Linked DNA regions of Danio rerio. The protein of the gene in region 2 interacts with the protein of the main gene of each other region in a pairwise test. Links are inferred from orthologs where the notes say so. Each region holds a gene or a part of one and is shown on either strand. Other genes may lie near its edges. The genes, in order: ube3a, jade1 and yju2.

Region 1 (6,348 bases), on a different chromosome or scaffold from region 2:
ATCCACAGCAATGGAGGTGGAACCAGAAGCTTCAGCATCAAGTGGAGACGGGTCATCTCATGGGGAGAACAACGTCCAAAAGTTGAGTCCTGTAGAAGTTTCTGTAGACATTGATGCTGTAAGAAGAGTGTACGACAGATTATTATCGAATGAGAAGATTGAGGCAGCTTTCCTCAACGCGTTAGTCTACTTGTCGCCCAACGTAGAGTGTGACCTCACCTATCACAATGTGTACGCCGCTGACCCTAATTACCTGAACGTCTTCATCATTGTGATGGAGAACAGTAACCTCCACAGTCCCGAATACTTAGAAATCGCCTTGCCACAGTTCTGCAAGGCCATGAGCAAGCTACCTCTTCCGGCTCTGGCCAAGCTTGCACGGTTGTGGTCGCAGTACGGTGTGGACCAGATCCGACGTTTGGTCGAGACTTTCCAGCAGCTTATTACCTACACGGTCATCAGCAACGAGTTCAGCAGTGATAACCTAGTCAATGAGGATGATGGTGTGGTGGCAGCCACCAAGTGCTTGAAAATCGTCTACTATGCAAACGTGCTGGGCGGCGACCTAGACACGGATCACAATGAGGAGGACGACGATGAACCGATCCCTGAGTCCAGCGAGCTGACGCTGCAGGAGCTGCTGGGAGAGGAGAGACGCAATAAAAAAGGCCCTCGAGTGGATCCGCTAGAGACAGAAATGGGCATCCGTGCCTCGGACTGTCGAAAACCCCTCATCCCATTCGAGGAGTTCATCAATGAACCACTCAATGAGGTGCTGGAAATGGACAAAGACTATACCTTCTTCAAGGTGGAGACAGAGAGCAAGTTCTCCTTTATGACCTGCCCTTTCATACTTAACGCTGTGACTAAGAATCTGGGCCTGTACTATGACAACCGGATCCGCATGTATAGCGAGCGCAGGATTACTGCCCTCTATAGTTTGGTGCAAGGACAGCAACTAAACCCTTATCTGCGTCTCAAAGTGCGCAGAGACCACATCATAGACGATGCTCTTGTCAGGGTAAGTGCCAAAAAGCTCAGATGATGAATGCGGTTTCAAAGAAGTGAATAATTTATATAAAATAAACATGTAATTGGTTGTAGTTGGAGATGATTGCCATGGAAAACCCAGCAGACCTGAAGAAACAACTGTATGTGGAGTTTGAGGGTGAGCAAGGTGTAGATGAGGGAGGAGTATCCAAAGAATTCTTTCAACTGGTTGTAGAGGAGATCTTCAACCCAGATATAGGTAATAATCATTTGTTTTTCCTATTTGGGTTTTTCAGTAGAGCTTTTGGGGTTCTTTCATGCAACCTAATGTACATTTTAGATTCACTTATCAAATAATTAAAACTGACTAAAAACATCTGCTCACTTTTGATTGCATAACTACGCCCCGTTTACACTAGTGCGTTTTAGATCGAAAACGATCCGTGTCCACACTAGCGTATCACCTTGTGTCTCCGAACATATCTCCGTCCACACTACGCCACCAAAATCGTATATCACGTGACCATTCGCACACTCAGGGCATGCGCATTCTGGTGTAAACAGAAAGCATGCGTCTCACTTGGCATTTGGTTATTTGGTTAACAAACGCCGGTTGAACATTAAACGCGATGGCAAAGAAAGCAAGAGAGGTATTTTTGTGGACAGATGACGAGGTCGAGTTGTTACTAAACATACCAAATGAATAACTGCACAATGATGCCTAAAACTGAAAATAGTGCAAACAACGCTCCCATTTCTGTGCCCATGTTGTTGTTTACAGTACTGTCTTCCGGTAGCGTTATAGTCATGTGATTGACTTGACGAATAAGGGAAGTATACGCAATGACACAAAAGCCCCAATCAGGTAGCGAATCTCAGCAGCCCCGCCTCCGTTTTCAAATGTCTCTGTTTTTCCTCATCCACACTGGGATAGAGCAGCAGCGTTTCAGAATGAAAACGGCCTCTCCAGTGTTTTCAAAACGCTCCGTTTTCGGCGCTCGAGAACTTCGGCGTAGTGTGGACGGATGGCGTAACCGTAGCAAAACTTATGCGTTTTAAAACAAAAACGCATTAGTGTAAACGGGGCGTTAAATGCATGTTAATACCAGGTGACATAAACATTTATTATGTTCTTTTAGATTTTAAGGAGTTTGTAGTGCACAATTCCTCTCACAGTCAAACACATTTTACTGGATTGTCCTGCTTTTAATGATTCCAGAAGACTCCAAGAAGAGTGTTAGAATTTATTATGTATTATCGCTAAAAATCCTTACGTATTCAATTGTTGATTTTTAAGTGTATATTTATTATTGAAATGCTCTTGCCATGAAATTAGTCTTGGTTGCTGACATTAGGGTTGGGTACATAGACGATGCCATCGTCCATCGCTGATGGCCGATAGACATCACAATGCTAAGCTGGCATTGCGATCCCACCTTTTAAATAGTTTCTATCTACATAGCAAACAAAACTGTCATGCCTTGGGAACTAAACATAACTAACCAATATGTCATCTGACACAAAGTTCATTGACGATCATTTATACTTATTGTAATTGAATGTGTAATATAATATGTGCCAGTAAGCTTATCATTTCATTCAGAACTTCAGCATTATTCTGTAAATGTGAATAATGAATCAGTGAGGATAAGGTGGATGGTGTCTGTTTTGCTCACTTGTTCTACACTTTTTACCCACAGGCATGTTTACCTATGATGAAAGCACAAAACTTTTCTGGTTCAACCCTTCATCATTTGAGAATGAAGGCCAGTTCACTTTGATAGGCATCGTCCTGGGCCTAGCTATCTACAATAACTGCATTCTGGATGTGCATTTCCCTATGGTGATTTACAGAAAACTAATGGGAAAGAAAGGAACGTTTCGAGACCTTGCAGACTCTCATCCGGTAATCTTTGCCTGCATACGTTTTTAAAAATATTTAGCTTGCTTAATGTTTGTTTTTAAAAATGGAAACACAAATGGTTCACCAAGATGTTGAGATGAATTTGAAAGAAGTCTCTTATGCTCACCAAGGCTGCTTTAATTTGATTTGAAAAATTACGATTCATCAGTTCTTTGTACTTAAATGTCATAATTTTTTAGAAATCATTATAATATACTGATTTATTGTTTAATATATATTTGTTATTTTTTACCATTTAAAAACAGCTGTGCTGCTCAGTGTTTTTATGGGAAGAGTTAGACTTTTTTTTGCAGTGTTTGGACATGTTATCTTTTAATTTCTATTAGTTTTGCTGAAGTATAGTCCCTTAAAATGTTTCTCATACTTTTGAAAAGTGTTGTGTATTTATTTACAGATTTATACTATAAACTTGTAGCTTTTATTGTTTTAATATTTTCCACATTCAGGTAAATTAAACTAAAAGCAGCTGTAGTACACTGTAGATCAAAATCCAGCAAGACAGTGTGTAATGTTTTTCCAAATATTTCTTAAGTTATGTTAACATAGTTATAGATGCATGATTTTGGACCCTCAAACTACAGGCAGGTTTTTTCCTCAATATTTCTAGTCCATACTTTAAATTGATAAAGAGATAATGCATTATGAGCAGCATTTCAGCTTTATTACATGTAGTTATGCATGTCCAGTTCTCAGTCATGCTGTGTATCGTCTATCTGTCTACACTTGTTCAGAATGCAGGCAGTTTTAGATCAGAGATTATGTCTGCTGGGAGATTTAGGCAGACACATCAGCACTTTGCTGGCGGAGTCCGTCGTGAAGACTTTAGCACACGGTGACTGCTCATCAAAATAATTTGGGGCAGGTTAATGCTTGCCCTTTGTCACATAGCAGTTATTTGATGGGCAGGATTAGAGAAATCTCTATCAGTGCATCTCTGGAGAAAATGATTATAATGGTGCTGTTCGTCTGTTTTTACAGGTTCTTTTTCAGAGTCTGAAAGATCTCATGGAGTATGAAGGCAATGTTGAAGAAGACATGATGATTACCTTCCAGATCTCGCAAACAGACCTGTTTGGAAACCCATTAATGTACGATTTAAAGGAAAGCGGTGATAAAATCCCTGTTACCAATGAGAACAGAAAGGTCAGGGAACATTTTTAATAAATGATCATTCATTCATTTATTCATTCATTCATTCAACATTTAAAAACACAACATGCAAGTATGCATATAACATGAAGTGTCTTGTCTGCAGGATTTTGTGGCGCTCTATGCAGAGTACATGCTGAACAAAAGTGTGGAGAAACAGTTTAAGGCCTTTAGAAGAGGATTCCACATGGTCACTAATGAGTCTCCACTGAAATATCTGTTTCGACCGGAGGAGATTGAGCTGCTTATATGTGGCAGCAGGGTGAGTTAGATATACATTCATTACTCATTTTTCATCGGTGTGGTAAAGCTATACATACAAGCGCATGATTTTTGTGTTGTGCTTTTATAGAACCTTGACTTCCAAGCACTTGAAGAAAGCACCGAATATGATGGAGGATACAACAAAGACTCGCGCATTATTAGGTATGTGGATGTTTCTTTATTTTAAATTGTGACTTTGTGTGTTTGTTGTTGTTCATCAGGCCTCATCCACAATGCATATAGGCATTGGCAATTGCGAGAATGTTATCAGTCAAACACTCATTGTAAAATCTACATCCTATGTTGAAAGGGAAAAACTATATTTTTGCTTCTCTTCAGGGATTTCTGGGAGACGGTGCACTCATTTGAGCAGGAGAAGAAGAGACTGTTTCTCCAGTTCACCACTGGCACAGATAGAGCTCCAGTTGGAGGTTTAGGCAAACTCAAGATGATTATTGCCAAAAATGGTCCCGACTCAGACAGGTAAACTCAATTATTACCAAATATCTGCACTGTCATTTCATTTAGCATTGTGTCTTGCTCCATCTTTTTGGTACAGTATTGTTGTGCTAGTTATCCTTATTAAAGGGACAAAACAGGGGTGTATGGTACAGTCAGCTATTTTGCTACTTCTGACAAACAGTGGAAACAAATTTAGATGTATACTGTACTATGCTTTAGTAGTAAACTAGCGATCAGTGTTTCTTTTCCCCTCCATAACCTCCATGTTTTAAATACACAGTTGAGATGTTACACTGTAACAATATATACATATAACAACAAGCTATGGTTGACCCGAGCTTAAACAAACCTTGTCGTCATCTTGTTGAACAGCTACAGAGCTGTTGCGCAAAAAAACAAAGGGAGAAGCCGGAAAAACAAAGGAGTAAATGATTGTTTCAGCAACCTAAAACATGAACAAACTGCTGTGTTTAAGTATTATATTCACTTCTAGACTATTATGAACCCAGAATGACGGAATTACTTTCTATCAAGAGGTTACATGTGCTGGTGAAATTAAAGATACAGATGAGAGATTTGCACTGACTGTGAGCTATATGTTGCAAGTTGTTTTTTTTAACCCAAATAAAGACTAAACATATGCTGCGTGTAGTTTTTCTGTAACTGGTAACTTATCGGAGACTGTAAGGGGCTGCATGTATTCATATATATTGCATTTATTTATTTATTTATTTATTTATTTACCTTATATAATTGCAGACGTTACAGTAGGTTAATTCACACTGTCATTGATCTGCAGTCATAATCAAATCATGTTCATTGAAAGGTTAGTAATGAACACTTATACTTAAGTATTTATGTGTATAAAGTGTCTGTTTTGTGAGAAATGCTTCTCATATGATATGTGAACAGCCTGTACAGCTTTACTGTAGACATTTTCTTGAGCGAGAATAACATCGACTGAAACTTTCTGTCGTACACCATGCACACCAAAAGAGTACCACTGATACCCTTTTAGCAGTGGAAACGCAAGCCTGATAACGGTGACCCATACTGTACCACTCAGTGGAAATGGGCCATAATACAAGCTGGGGGCTGCTCAAAGTGCTTTACAGCATTAAAACAAAATTATGCATTAAAACAAGAATGTCAATAACACAGCATGTTGCACTACTGACAGTGCAACATTCATGATAATACAAAGTTTTATAGGGAGGGTATTGCACAGTTTTGGACATGCCACTGCAACCTGGATCTGGGGACCTCCAGCAACAACTGGCCTGCTGATTGTAGGGCCCTGTTAGCTTGATGAATCTTTAAAATTGCACATAAATGAGAAGAATGACTATGATGGGATCAATTAAAATTTCTAGAAAATAAAAACCCATCATTTTTAGTTACAGAAAGCAAATCTTTAAATCCATATCCAAAACACATGTTTATACATTTACTATCATTTTTTTAAATCAATAACCTTTTGGCTCTGACTATACGTGGGATGTATTTTTTCATATAATTATTATTAAGTTATTTTAGTGTCACTAAAATATTTAGCCTCT
Region 2 (5,945 bases):
ACAGTCATTATCACATCAGTGTTTTGCCATTAGACCATTAAATTTGTTGTTAGGCCAAAACCTAAAACACACACCTGTACAAATGTATGATACACAAATGTTTAATTTACTGATCTAAACTACTAGTGTGAAGCACACACATTTACTCGCCATCATGTTGATCCAAACCCTTCCACTACAAACACAAAAGATCCTTTATTCTTCTCATTCTCAAATCATTGTTTTTTCATTGAATGTAAGTCTGTGCATGTTTGACACATTAGAAACCTCTAAAATACATAACAAAAGGAATCTATTTGAAGCAAGTGATTAATTTAGATTCTTGTTTGTATGTAGAAAAGAGTTAGAAAATCAACTTATTTACCTTGCTTGATTTGCAAGAACATCTCATTGGTTCTCACATGCCAAACAGAATGATATATTAACTATTATATATAATAATGCCTTTTTAAAGCTTCTTTGTAGATTATTGTATGTCTCATCCACATATATGTGTGTTCAGGTGCGTAATTTGACGTATATGGTCAGCCGACGGGAGAGGATTAAACGGACCTTGTGCCGAGTGCAGGAGCAGATCTTTCATCACCACGTCAGGCTGCTGGAGCAGGGCCGCGTCACTGGTTAGTATGATGCTCACTTAAAGAGTACTGAAGCCAGGGGTGTCAAACTCAAAATCTGTAGACCTCCAACTCACACCTACTTAAAGACCCCGTAAAGTGCTTTGAAAAATGCATTTTTATTCAATCTTTGATGTAATCTTAAACCGAAACATGAAGAAAGGGTGGGAGAGCTTAACTCCTCCCCTTAAAGAACAAGAACAAAAACAAAAAATCAAACAGCCAAAAGTGTTTGTTTTTCCTCAGCTCTGCCAGTGAGAAGTGGTTGAGCTCTAGTGCATCAAATGAAAAGTGTCTTTAAGGGGGTGGGGCATGTCAGACATGAGAGGTTATGATTAGGGATTTTCCAATTGATCGGCTAGAGATCTGTGTCAGCTGATATTCACATTTCATGACTCAATCGGTACTCGGCAATCTGCCCGATCTCATGAACCGATTGCAAAAGTTTGTTGTTGAGTTTACACATAGAGAAAGTGGTAACGAGACTGAGTGAACGTGAACAGATTGAGAGAGACACAGTCATGTCCTAAGTATTACATTGGTAAGGTTAACTTCTTATGCATCAATTATGCGCTCCAAACTTTTTCTTCATTGAAACATGTTGAATTCTTCTTCCATCATTTGCAATGTTTCCAAATTACATTGTTAATCATTTCTTACCGATTTTTAAAATGTTTTATCTATTATTTTCTGTAAAACTCCCTTTGACCATGACATTTCCGAACTAAATGGTTTTAATAGTCGTTTTAAGGGATTACATGCAGCAAAAGTGATGATCTCGCCTCACCTAAGAAAATAAATAAAGTATCATACTTAAAGGGAAAATGAACTATTTTGCATTATAAAGCTTGAGGCATCAGAATCTGTACTTGGAATCTGACGATCACCATGACAAAGAATTTGTACTCTGTTTCAGCTGCAAAAATCCTGATCAGAGCATCCCTGGTTATGATGTAATGAGAAACTGAAGTATGAGGTGACATGAATAAATCTATTGATCCATTTAGGGAGAAGTGACAAATTACAAGCTTTACATGTTTATATCAGTTTTGTATCTTCTAAACGCCAATTTTGTCACTTTTTTGGGGTGCGCTAGCTTATAGATATTCTAAGAAAGAATAATACTGATACTGACATCTAAAAAACTTCATTTTAATTTCATAGGACCTTTTATAGTTTTTAGTAGTCTTGAACACCTTGATTAGTTGGATCATTTGTGTTTGCTTAGAGTTGGAACAAAACACTGCACAGCTGCGGCCCTCCAGGAATTGAGTTTTAATACCTGTGATTCAAACCATTTGACCTCTTCTGTTTTCTCTCCTGGTCAGGTATATCCTCTACTAGACGTTTGGAGGAGGCTATGTTTTATTTCCGTACGACGCCACCTGTGCCAGCATCTCCTCAGCCTCTGAAGGGCCACTGTGGGCAGAACAGCACACTGAGCTCCAGCGAGAAGGGAAGCAACTCTTACAGATCCTCAAAGCATATTGAAGCAGACAAGCCTGCAAAGATGCTCATGGACGGCGTTCCCAGTTCTGGAGACTCTGTGAGAAGCGAGACAGTGATGTCTGCTTCATCTAGACGTTCTGAGGGCAGGACGAGGAGTGGTGAGTCTCACAGAAAAGAGGAGGAAAGTGAGCGTCCTCTGGAGGACAGGAGGAGAAAGAGCAAGCTATGGGACCAGGTGTCTATTAAAGACAAACTGAGGCATGCAAAGTCTATGGAGGACACGCTGAGCAGTGAGACAGAGCTCGACACAATGGATGACAGATTGCTGCTGTCTCACACTAACGCTAATTCTGTAGCCACTGCTCCAAACATGTACAGCGGATCGCCGAGGAAGACAAACGCAAGCCATCAGGGAAAACTAGTGCCAAATGGAACATCCGGGCGGCATCTGAAAAACTGGGGCAGTTTCCGAATCCCCAAACGCAGTGAGAGAACGTCAGCAGGGAGACAGACCGAGAGGCAGGAGGCAGACAACACCGCAGACCAAAACTCTTCCTTAAAAACGTTTAGCACAAGCCCCGCCCCCTCCTCTCCTCAAATCAGGACCCGACTGCGGACGGGAAGTGAGAATCGACGCCATCTGGAAGAGTCTGATCTCGGCCAATCAGAGCAGGGTAAGAGGTGTCACACCCAGAGACTTCCGAGCCCTATGACTAGACGATACGGTTCAGACGTGATCCAACGTGGAGTTCTCGCATCTTGAAATGTCCAAATATATTATCATTATTATTTTCCCTCTTCATTTGCTCTTCAACGAAAGGTGAACAGGTGGAACGATATTTATTTTTCTAGTCTGTAATGTTCTGCTGAAAGTATTTTTTTGTGTGTATGTTAAAACAAATGTGGAGAGGTTTCAAAGACCAAACGATTGGCTGACGAAGACGAATATCTTCCTAATAATCGATGAATGAAACTATAAATCAGGTGAAAATGAACTGGCGGAGTTTCGAGATGAGTTATGAGCACTTCTGAGGGTGTTACCAGCGTGAAATGAAGCCAGTGCAGCCCAGCTGTCTTAAGTCCCACACAAAAACTGCACTTAACTGAGCACTTAAAAAGAAAAACATATTTGACCACAACAGTCGAAGCAGTTTCCAAAATTTAGGAAAGACTTTTAATTTATTTTTCAGTATTCTGCTAACTTAAAAGGCCATCATGTGTTGTGTGTATGTGACATGTGCCATTACTTCTGCTGTGGCACCTTTTCCTTCTCAGGTAAAATCTGCTTATATTTGTACTTAATTTATAGTGTTATGTCTTTTTTTTCCCTCTCCAAACTGAGTGTGTAACAGGTTAATGCCTTATATGTACTCTCTTTGGTCTTGAAGAAATTCCTTTCCATATAAATACAAATAAATAATAAAAAACTGTTCATTTAACCATATTCTTCAGCAATAGATGGACACTGTAGATCTGGACAGATTCACACTCGGTATGATGAAATTATGACGCATACGATGTATATCATTTGCAGCTCTGTTCAGGAAGGCTTTTAACAATCATTTACTTCCAGTATCCATTACTTTGCACTTGATATTAAACAATAACAGAAGACACTATCATAGCTCTAATGAAAACACTGTTGTGTTGAAAGGACTGATCTTCTTGACATGGTTGCCTTGGAGTAGTACGCAGAATATGTGTTCTTGCATCTTTTTCTTTATCGCTGTAAATGTCTCCTCATGCAAAATGTGAGTTGATCTCCTTCAGAAAAAAAAGTTTATCTTGTGCCTGTTTTTGTTGAGATGTTGCACTAGAACATTAGCCAGAGAGCTTGGTATAACTGTGTTCACAGACAAAAAAAAATTTCTACATGTTTATATAATCAAGCGCTGCTGTAATTTTCTTCTTTCTTTTCTTTTATTCTTATGCAATACTTTAGTTTTGTTGCAGATTGTGAATAAATTTTCTTGAGGTTACTTGAGGAGATGAAGTGTGGCTCACTGGAAACTTTTCAACTTTTCTCTGCTTTCAGACCAGGACAAGAAATCTGATATTGTCCCCAACATTTAAATATAGAAGCCTTTTGTTACAACGCAATTTTAAACTAAATCTTTAGTATTAACATTGCATTTGGATCTGCTTACTATGACCAATAATGAATATAAAAAAAACATTTCAGAATATTTATTAGGATAAAACTGTTAATGCATCTTTAAAGACCAGATAATGGTTCCCATTCATTTCAGATCTGACAACATATCAATGATTCTTTAGTCAGAGATTGCAGTGAAAGATTCACTGATTTGCTAATTCAACAAAGTAGTGAGAATCTTTCTTAAAAAAAACTGTTCAAAGTGCACATTTTAAAACACAACTCCATCATCATCTTTGTGGAAACTACAAAACATTCAAATGTACATACATTCAGTCTATTGGCATATAAATGTAGTTGACATCCAAAAACAACAATGGCAGATTTTAGGACTGCACTTTTGTGTCTAAGAAGAAGTGACATCGCCACCTGCTGGCCAGGTATATGTATATAAAAAATATCCGAAATTACCTACTATACCCTTAAATCAGGGGTCCTCAACCCCATTCCTTGAGTTCTTTCTTCCTACAGGTTTCAGTTGCAAACCTGTCTAATCTTTAAGTGCTGCTTCAGGTCCTGTTAAATTAATACACTTGTTCAGTTGTGAGCTAAACTCTGCAGGAAGGTGTTTCTCCAGGAACAGGGTTGAAGACATCTGCCTTAAATACTGCATTATTTAAGGAAACTAAACAGCTATATTCGTGTCCGAAACCATATAGTAGACGTTCTGAAGTGACCCCAATCAATCCCACAATGCACCGCAATAACTAGTCGAGTGAACAGATGTACTCTGAGGGTTCGTTACTGAGGAGAATGATTTCCCGCGTGTGCGACAAGATGGCGTCAACCGCAGTATCTTATCAGTGTAAGTTTGTAAATAACTGATTATTTATTGTAAAATTAACGTGTACATGATAGAATACTTTGTTTCATTACTAACCCTGATGGAAAAAAAACTGCATATTTGCATAGAACCAGCATTGATGCTAGTATGTTGGTCTTGCTGCCAGTTTTAATGCTGGTTTTTCTGGTCTGAGTGATGGTCCTGAGCAGCACTAGCATCAAAACATACCTTACCAGCATGTGCTGTTTTTTTCCAGCAGGGATTAGACAACATAAACACTGACAGCAATTTTATTTCATGTTTATTAACCAGCAAAGCACAAACAAATATACCTCTCTTTTGGTGCTTCATGCTCAAATTTACTCATGTAGAGTTTATTAGTGGACTGATGTAGAGAAAAGTGAATGAGGGTATAGTGGCAATTTCGAATAAATCCATGCTTTGTGTGTGTGTGACCAGTTAATGTTTAGAGATCATCGTTTTCATGTTTCATACAAGCCATTTGTTGTTTCACACAGTAAACTCTGGCACATCTAAACATGAAATTAACAGCAACTCACAGAAAACATCTGACTTCACACAATTGCTGTCTTGAAAGTAGGATAAATCCACCTCTGTGGGGACTTTTAGATTCAATCATGGCCGCCATATTGACAGACTGCTCCAAACTGAAGTGCTCAAAACTGGCCATTAAAAACATTCAGAATGAAGGCCAGAAGTGATGGACACTTACTCTTCTTTACATTTTGATCCCTTACACCCTTAAACCCTTCAAAGGGCATACAGATGAACACTGAATTTAGAAAATGGAACACAACCAGGAATTTCCTAACTTGCCAAAGCCACTTTAGTCCTACAGTGGCAATATTAGCATCGTTATGGTTCCAGGGATGGCATTTAAACACAATATATATACACCTTTGGACTCGTAAGCCGCTTT
Region 3 (6,348 bases), on a different chromosome or scaffold from region 2:
TAACTGCAACTCTCAGTGACACTAAAATGTTTTTAAATTTATACAAATAGTTTTGAGGGCAATTGTTCTAAAGCATAGACACAGGTTAATGTTTTTTTTTTCCTTTTTTTTTTCGTACGGTTATGGAAAACCTGGAACAGTCATGGAATTTTTAAGTGGCATAATCAATGCCTGGAAAAGTTTTGGAAAAACAAATAAACCCATAAAGTTTTGCAAACATCATGGAAATTTTATACCTGAATATATTTTAAATGATAATATTGGGTCATTTTCAAACACAATAGCAGAGTCCGTCTCTCCTTTACTCTCATTCATGCGCAGAAACAAACTAACAACTACAGCGGTACGATTCTTCTGTATGTTCTGTATGCAACTAGAGTTTGCTTGTTTTGACACATTTAAAATATGTGGCTGAGAAATAACTAATTTAACAGGGCAAGTACAAATCTTCAGCGTTTAGCCCTGTATAAGCCTGAAATTTCATTCATAATGGTCTTAAAGTCTTAAATTTGACTTTGTGGAACCTGCAGAAGCCTTTATTAATGTAAGTGTATTATGTTTTGTATGTAACCTATTGAAATGAATTTTAGTAGTAAAAGTGTGTATGAACTCTGTGATTGGTTCATGGAGGTTGCATCTATTGGTGAAGCATTGAATATATTTTTTAAACATTTCGCAGTGGTGCCTAAATGAATCAGCCAATTTAAATGAATCATTTGGATAAATGATTCAGTGAATCACTAAGACGCGAGAATGGATGCCATCTTGTAATATTACATTTATCTGTCCATGACAGACATAATCCAGCCAAATGCCAGAAGAAAAAAAAACAAACTATAGTTCAATTCTATCCACAATTATCTCACAAATCTGCTTGATATTGGAAACAATTGACATTGCAAAGTTTTATTAATATTAATATACTTTGCGATAGGCAACGCGGTGGTGCGGTAGGTAGTGCTGTCGCCTCACAGCAAGAAGGTCGCTGGTTCGAGCCTTGGCTGGGTCAGTTTTCATATTCTCCCCGCGTTCGTGTGGGTTTCCTCCGGGTGCTCCGGTTTCCCCCACAGTCCAAATACATGCGGTACAGTTGAATTGGGTAGGCTAATTTGTCCGTAATGTATGAGTGTGTATGGATGTTTCCCAGAGCTGGAAGGGCATCCGCTGCGTAAAACACATGCTGGATAATTTGCCGGTTCATTCCGCTGTGGCCACCCCAGCTTAATAAAGGGACTAAGCCGAAAAGAAAATTAATGAATGAGTATATTGAGATATGAATATTATTTCACCAGATGACTTGAATGGCTCAGTTTGGGGAAAGAATTTATATTGATTTGGGGGATTTCGAAGAACAGTTAATTTGCATAAATGCAACACTAGTCAAACTGTATTCAGGTGCAGAAGCTGAATAATCAAATCTAAATAAATAACACCACATGGTCTTCGTTGTATAAAAAATATCTTTGGTAAAACGACATGTGTTATAAATGTAAATCTTATAGTCATAGGCCTTAAAACAAAGCAAACGAGCAAATAAAGATCTCTCACTCTAATAAGTTAAAATTTTACAGTGGTTCCTGGTCAGCTATAATCCCACTCAAATTGCCTAAGTGATGAATAAACTCAACCTGAACTTAAACTGAAGCGTCATTGCAGATAAACATTAGGGCTGTGCAATTAATCTAAAATCCGATTTCGATTTTGCCTTTTAACGATTATGAAAAATCATTAATCGAGATAAACGATTATTTCATCATATACCGCCCCTTTCCAGTTGTACACGTGTTGATCTTAAAAGCGCGAAAGACCGCATGATTCTGTGTGCCGCGCACACACAGAATTGAAGCATGCAGTCAGCATTCGGTCTCACTCGCACACTGAGACGAGCAGAGCGCAGTCAGCGCACACATCTAAAGTCATCTTAACGTGAGCGCTTTAATGGTCAGATAGGTGTCAAAACGCGGTGTTTAGTGATTATTCATATCAAGCATCATTTGTGTAATAAACAAACGAGTTGAGAATCAAAAGAGACGCGATAGAGAAACTATTAAAGAGACAGCGCGCTATAATCCTTCTGCCGCCTGTTTTTATGATTATTAATCAAACAACAAATGGAGAACATGCCTCTGCTGTTGACTGAAGGACTTTTGTAGCTAAAGTGTTTCTTAAGGTGAAGATGCTTAAATCACAGTTTGTTTTATATTTTTACTCTATTGTATTTATTTCTCTTTCCTTTGCAGGGTGGAAAATAACTGTTTGTATACAGTTGAAGTCTGAATTATTAGCCCTCCTGAATATTAGCAACCCTTTTCCCCCAATTTCTGTTTAATGGAAAGAAGATTTCTGAACATAATAGCTTTAATAACTCTTTTCTAATAACTTATCTATTTTATCTTTGTCACAATGAGAGCATATAATATTTGACTAGATATTTTTTCAAAATACAAGCATTCAGATTCAGAGTGCGATTTAAAGGCTTAATTAGTGTTATTAGACAGACAATCAAAAAATATATTGCTTAAGGGGGCTAACATTATAGACTTGCTTGAAAAAACCTGCTTTTATTCTAGCCAAAAGAAAAATAAAAAAGCCTTTCTCCAGAAGAAAAAAATATAAGAGGAAATACTGTTAAAATTCCTTGCTCTATTAAACATCATTTGGGAAATATTTATTTTTTACAAAATTATCAGAAGCGCTAATAATTTTGACTTTAACGGTAATCGTTTTGAATAATCGTGATTTCTGTTATGACCAAAATAATCGTGATTAGGATTTTTCACAAAATCGATCAGCCCTAATAACATTGCTATATTGTTGCGGAATTACATATATTGTGCAGCCTTAAGCTAAAGATGTTCTCTCTGAATGCTGTCAAAGGTCCTGGAGAACCGCACACGGGACTCAAAGCTGGAGATGGAGGTACTGGAGAACCTGCAGGAGCTGAAGGAGCTGAACCAGAGGCAGGCGCAAGTGGACTTTGAGGGTATGCTGGGTCAATATAAAGAGCTGGAGCAGAGACAGAAGCAGAGAGAGCAGGAGGAAGACGAGCAAGAGACCAAGTATGCAACAAGAGACCTTTTCTAATTTTGCTTTATGTATGCTGAATTGTTAAATATTTGTGGTTTAAACGTTTTGGTAAAGCCTTGAAGATCAGTCTTCATCAGAGGATTCCTCGTATGTCAGCTTATAAACAGATCAGCTGATTTTCGCTGCTTTAAAATGCTCCAGTGTCTCTGTATCAGTGGTTACACTCAGTAAACAGCGGTGAGTTCGGTGAATTGATGACCTTCACAGCCAATCACAGTGTTTTCTGTTGAGCACGTGAACACAATGGCAAATCAGCTGAGTTTAAGAACGTTCTCAACAGCGCTCAAATGTTAGCAGGAAATTTATGTTTTTAGAATTTCAGTACCGATTGTATTCCAGTAGCATGACAACACTATCTTGCAAAGTCTGAAAATTATATGTGGTCCATTTATTTTTAAACAAGAATGTACATTCATTATTGTAGTAATTTTACAGTGCACTAAAAAAAATATTAAAAAATAATTCCTTGGATTTACTAAATTTTTTACGTCAAGTGTTTGTAAACAATTTATTTGTGGTGAATTTAAACAAACAAATTAAGTTGAACATTTTTAAATGTAATTTGTTTGTTTAAATTCAACACAAATAAATAGTTTGCAACAGTTCTGCATGCAACACTTTTTTCAGTGTGTAAATATTCTAAAAAAAAATCACGCAGAGAAGTTATATTAGTAATTCATCATTCAAGTATTTTGCCGGTTTTTACATGTTAAAAACAATAATGATAATAATAGTACTGATATGTAATCACAGCATTTTGTCCAAACTGTGTACAATCTATAATATCATTTAAATGCAAAATGTAGATATTCCTATGCATTTTAACTAGTGTTGGGCCGTTATCGGCGTTAACTTTATGCGTTAACGCGAGACTCTTATCGCGCGATTAAAAAAATATCGCCGTTAATCTATTGTCAAAGTTGGGAGCTGGATCTATTCTACGCATGTATACCTGACCGGTGAGCCGTCTGACAAAATAGTGCCCTTCTGAATCAAATCAGCAGGATGCTTGCCTTTAACTGCAGTTCGAACGTTTAACTTTAACTCATGAACATTTCATTCATTGTCCCGTGACAAACTGGGGTATTAGACATAAATAGGAAGTAAGGACTGGTGAGAGTGTTATGAAATGTAATAACGCTAATCATAATAAATTTATGATTTATTATTTGGGTAGCACACATATTCTTAATGCCTTCGGCAGAATTCAAATGATCCGATTTAATTAATTTCGAGATTAATCTAGATTTTAAAAACTTGTCTATGCTTACCCATAATTTTAACCCAAAACATTGATGTTTAAACGTTGTGGTTGTGACGCAACGCAAATGTTTCAAGAAGACCCAAAAATGTGACGAACCCAGTTATTCAGGTTATGGTTATTTACGCTAATAATTCAATTGATGTTTATTTCTATTGCATTTTTACAATGTAGATTGTGTCAAAGTAGCTTAGCATAGAAGTTCTAGTAAATTGAAACTGTGTCAGTCCAGATTTTAGAGGAAGTTTAGTTCAGTTCAGCGTGGTTTAAATTTCACTGCTGGAAGTACAATCCCTTAACAGCAAATCATTCATTTTCTTGTCGGTTTAGTCCCTTTTTTAATCGGGGATCGCCACAGCGAAATGAACCGCCAACTTATCCAGCAAGTTTTTACGCAGCGGATGCCCTTCCAGCTGCAACCCATCTCTGGGAAACATCCACACACACATTCTCACACATACACTACGGACAATTTAGCCTCCCCAATTCACCTGTACCTCATGTGTTTGGACTGTGGGGGAAACCGGAGCACCAGGAGGAAACCCACGCGAACACAGAGAGAACATGCAAACTCCACACAGAAACGCCAACTAAGCCGAGGCTCAAACCAGCGACTTTCTTGCTGTGAGGCGACAGCACTACCTACTGCGCCACTGCTTCACCCTTAACAACAAATCCATTGATAATAATATACAAAAGACACGGGAATGGTGTAATGATGTTAAAACAAACAAAAAGCTCACCTTTCAAAGATCACCTACAACTTCGCTTAGTAATAGTCACAGCACAATAATCAAATCCCAGCCCGGTTCGTCATGTTTTCGGGTCCCCATAAAACTTTTTCCATTGTGTTCCATGATATTTACATGTGTTGTAAAAATTTTCTTAATTTTTTTTGCGTTGTGAGAATTTTCCCACACATTTTCTGTCAAACTGATGAAGATTTTTTCTTATTTTGCTAGTGTTTTTTGTAATTGCTCTCTCAGCCACAGTATTTTTTCCCTGAAGCAAATTGTGAAACAACAAGATGATGTATTGTACAAGTGTACTGTGATTTAATCTTCTCTTTTGTCTTTCTGTTCTCAGAGAGATGTTGGAGAGAGCTCTGGTCAAAAGACTGAGGGACTCAGACTCTGAAGAAGAGGCAGAAAACGCAAAGGAGCGAAGCAAGAAGCATATAGCTGATAAACCCACAGACATCCTCACCACAGACACCAGCACTTCATCACAGGTGGAGAGAGAGAGAAAAAGAGCGAGATTTAAATCTACTTTTTTATTTACATTTTCAGCTCATCTTTGCACAATAAAGGGCATCTGTTATGCAAAAATCACTTTTATAAGGGGTTTAAAGATAGTTATGTGGCAACAGTGTGTGAATATAACCAGTCTCTAATGGTATACCTTTTTTTCATAATCGCACAAATAAAAACACTCTGCAGTGTCATCACGTGGGGGAAAGCCCCGCCGTCCCCTGTTTCTCATTATTTTTATTATTTTTCCTCAGGGCTTGTCGTCTGCAGTGGCGAAGAAACAGAGCTGGGATAGGAGTGTGGGAGGTCTGAGTGTGAAGGGAGCTCTGGGGTCTCTGGTGGTGAGGAAGAAGCCAGCAGATTCTGCCTCTAAACCTTCCCATGCTGCACCACCACCGGCTGCTGCTGCTGCTGGCACACAAACAGGTTCAAGAGCTGTTAAAACTAGTCAGTTATTCATTTATGTAGAGTCGCAGGGTCAGAATGAGTGTGTGTGGAGGGAGTAAACGACAATTAATAACATCATGATTATGTTAAATAAAGGATGTATTCATTCAGCTGTGTAGAGTTAGGAATGAATGTCATTAAAGCTGGATTTATTTATATCTTTATATATTATATGTTTATTATTTACATAAATACATATAATTCAAATGTATTCAGTCTATATTCAGCCAACAATATTCTTAATTTATAAAGCCAGTTTTATTACTGTAATTAAATGTTTAAAAAGGCAAGGCAAGTTTATTT

What was found.
Region 1: the proteins of jade1 (region 2) and ube3a interact in a two-hybrid assay, tested with the Homo sapiens proteins (3 studies listed by BioGRID and IntAct). The link is inferred for Danio rerio from reciprocal best matches to the Homo sapiens genes JADE1 and UBE3A.
Region 3: the proteins of jade1 (region 2) and yju2 interact in a two-hybrid assay, tested with the Homo sapiens proteins (2 studies listed by BioGRID and IntAct). The two-hybrid records come from large-scale screens. The link is inferred for Danio rerio from reciprocal best matches to the Homo sapiens genes JADE1 and YJU2.

Annotation. Positions count from the first base shown.
Region 1 is NC_133181.1:41,330,958-41,337,305, forward strand, and holds part of ube3a (ubiquitin-protein ligase E3A), read left to right. Parts: coding exon 1-1,021; intron 1,022-1,104; coding exon 1,105-1,249; intron 1,250-2,690; coding exon 2,691-2,896; intron 2,897-3,892; coding exon 3,893-4,057; intron 4,058-4,169; coding exon 4,170-4,325; intron 4,326-4,415; coding exon 4,416-4,489; intron 4,490-4,666; coding exon 4,667-4,810; intron 4,811-6,348. UniProt on the Homo sapiens protein: E3 ubiquitin-protein ligase which accepts ubiquitin from an E2 ubiquitin-conjugating enzyme in the form of a thioester and transfers it to its substrates.
Region 2 is NC_133192.1:28,314,129-28,320,073, forward strand, and holds the end of jade1 (protein Jade-1), read left to right. Parts: intron 1-502; coding exon 503-620; intron 621-1,945; coding exon 1,946-2,829; 3' UTR 2,830-4,045; downstream 4,046-5,945.
Region 3 is NC_133177.1:55,443,919-55,450,266, forward strand, and holds part of yju2 (splicing factor YJU2), read left to right. Parts: intron 1-2,877; coding exon 2,878-3,059; intron 3,060-5,434; coding exon 5,435-5,579; intron 5,580-5,852; coding exon 5,853-6,024; intron 6,025-6,348.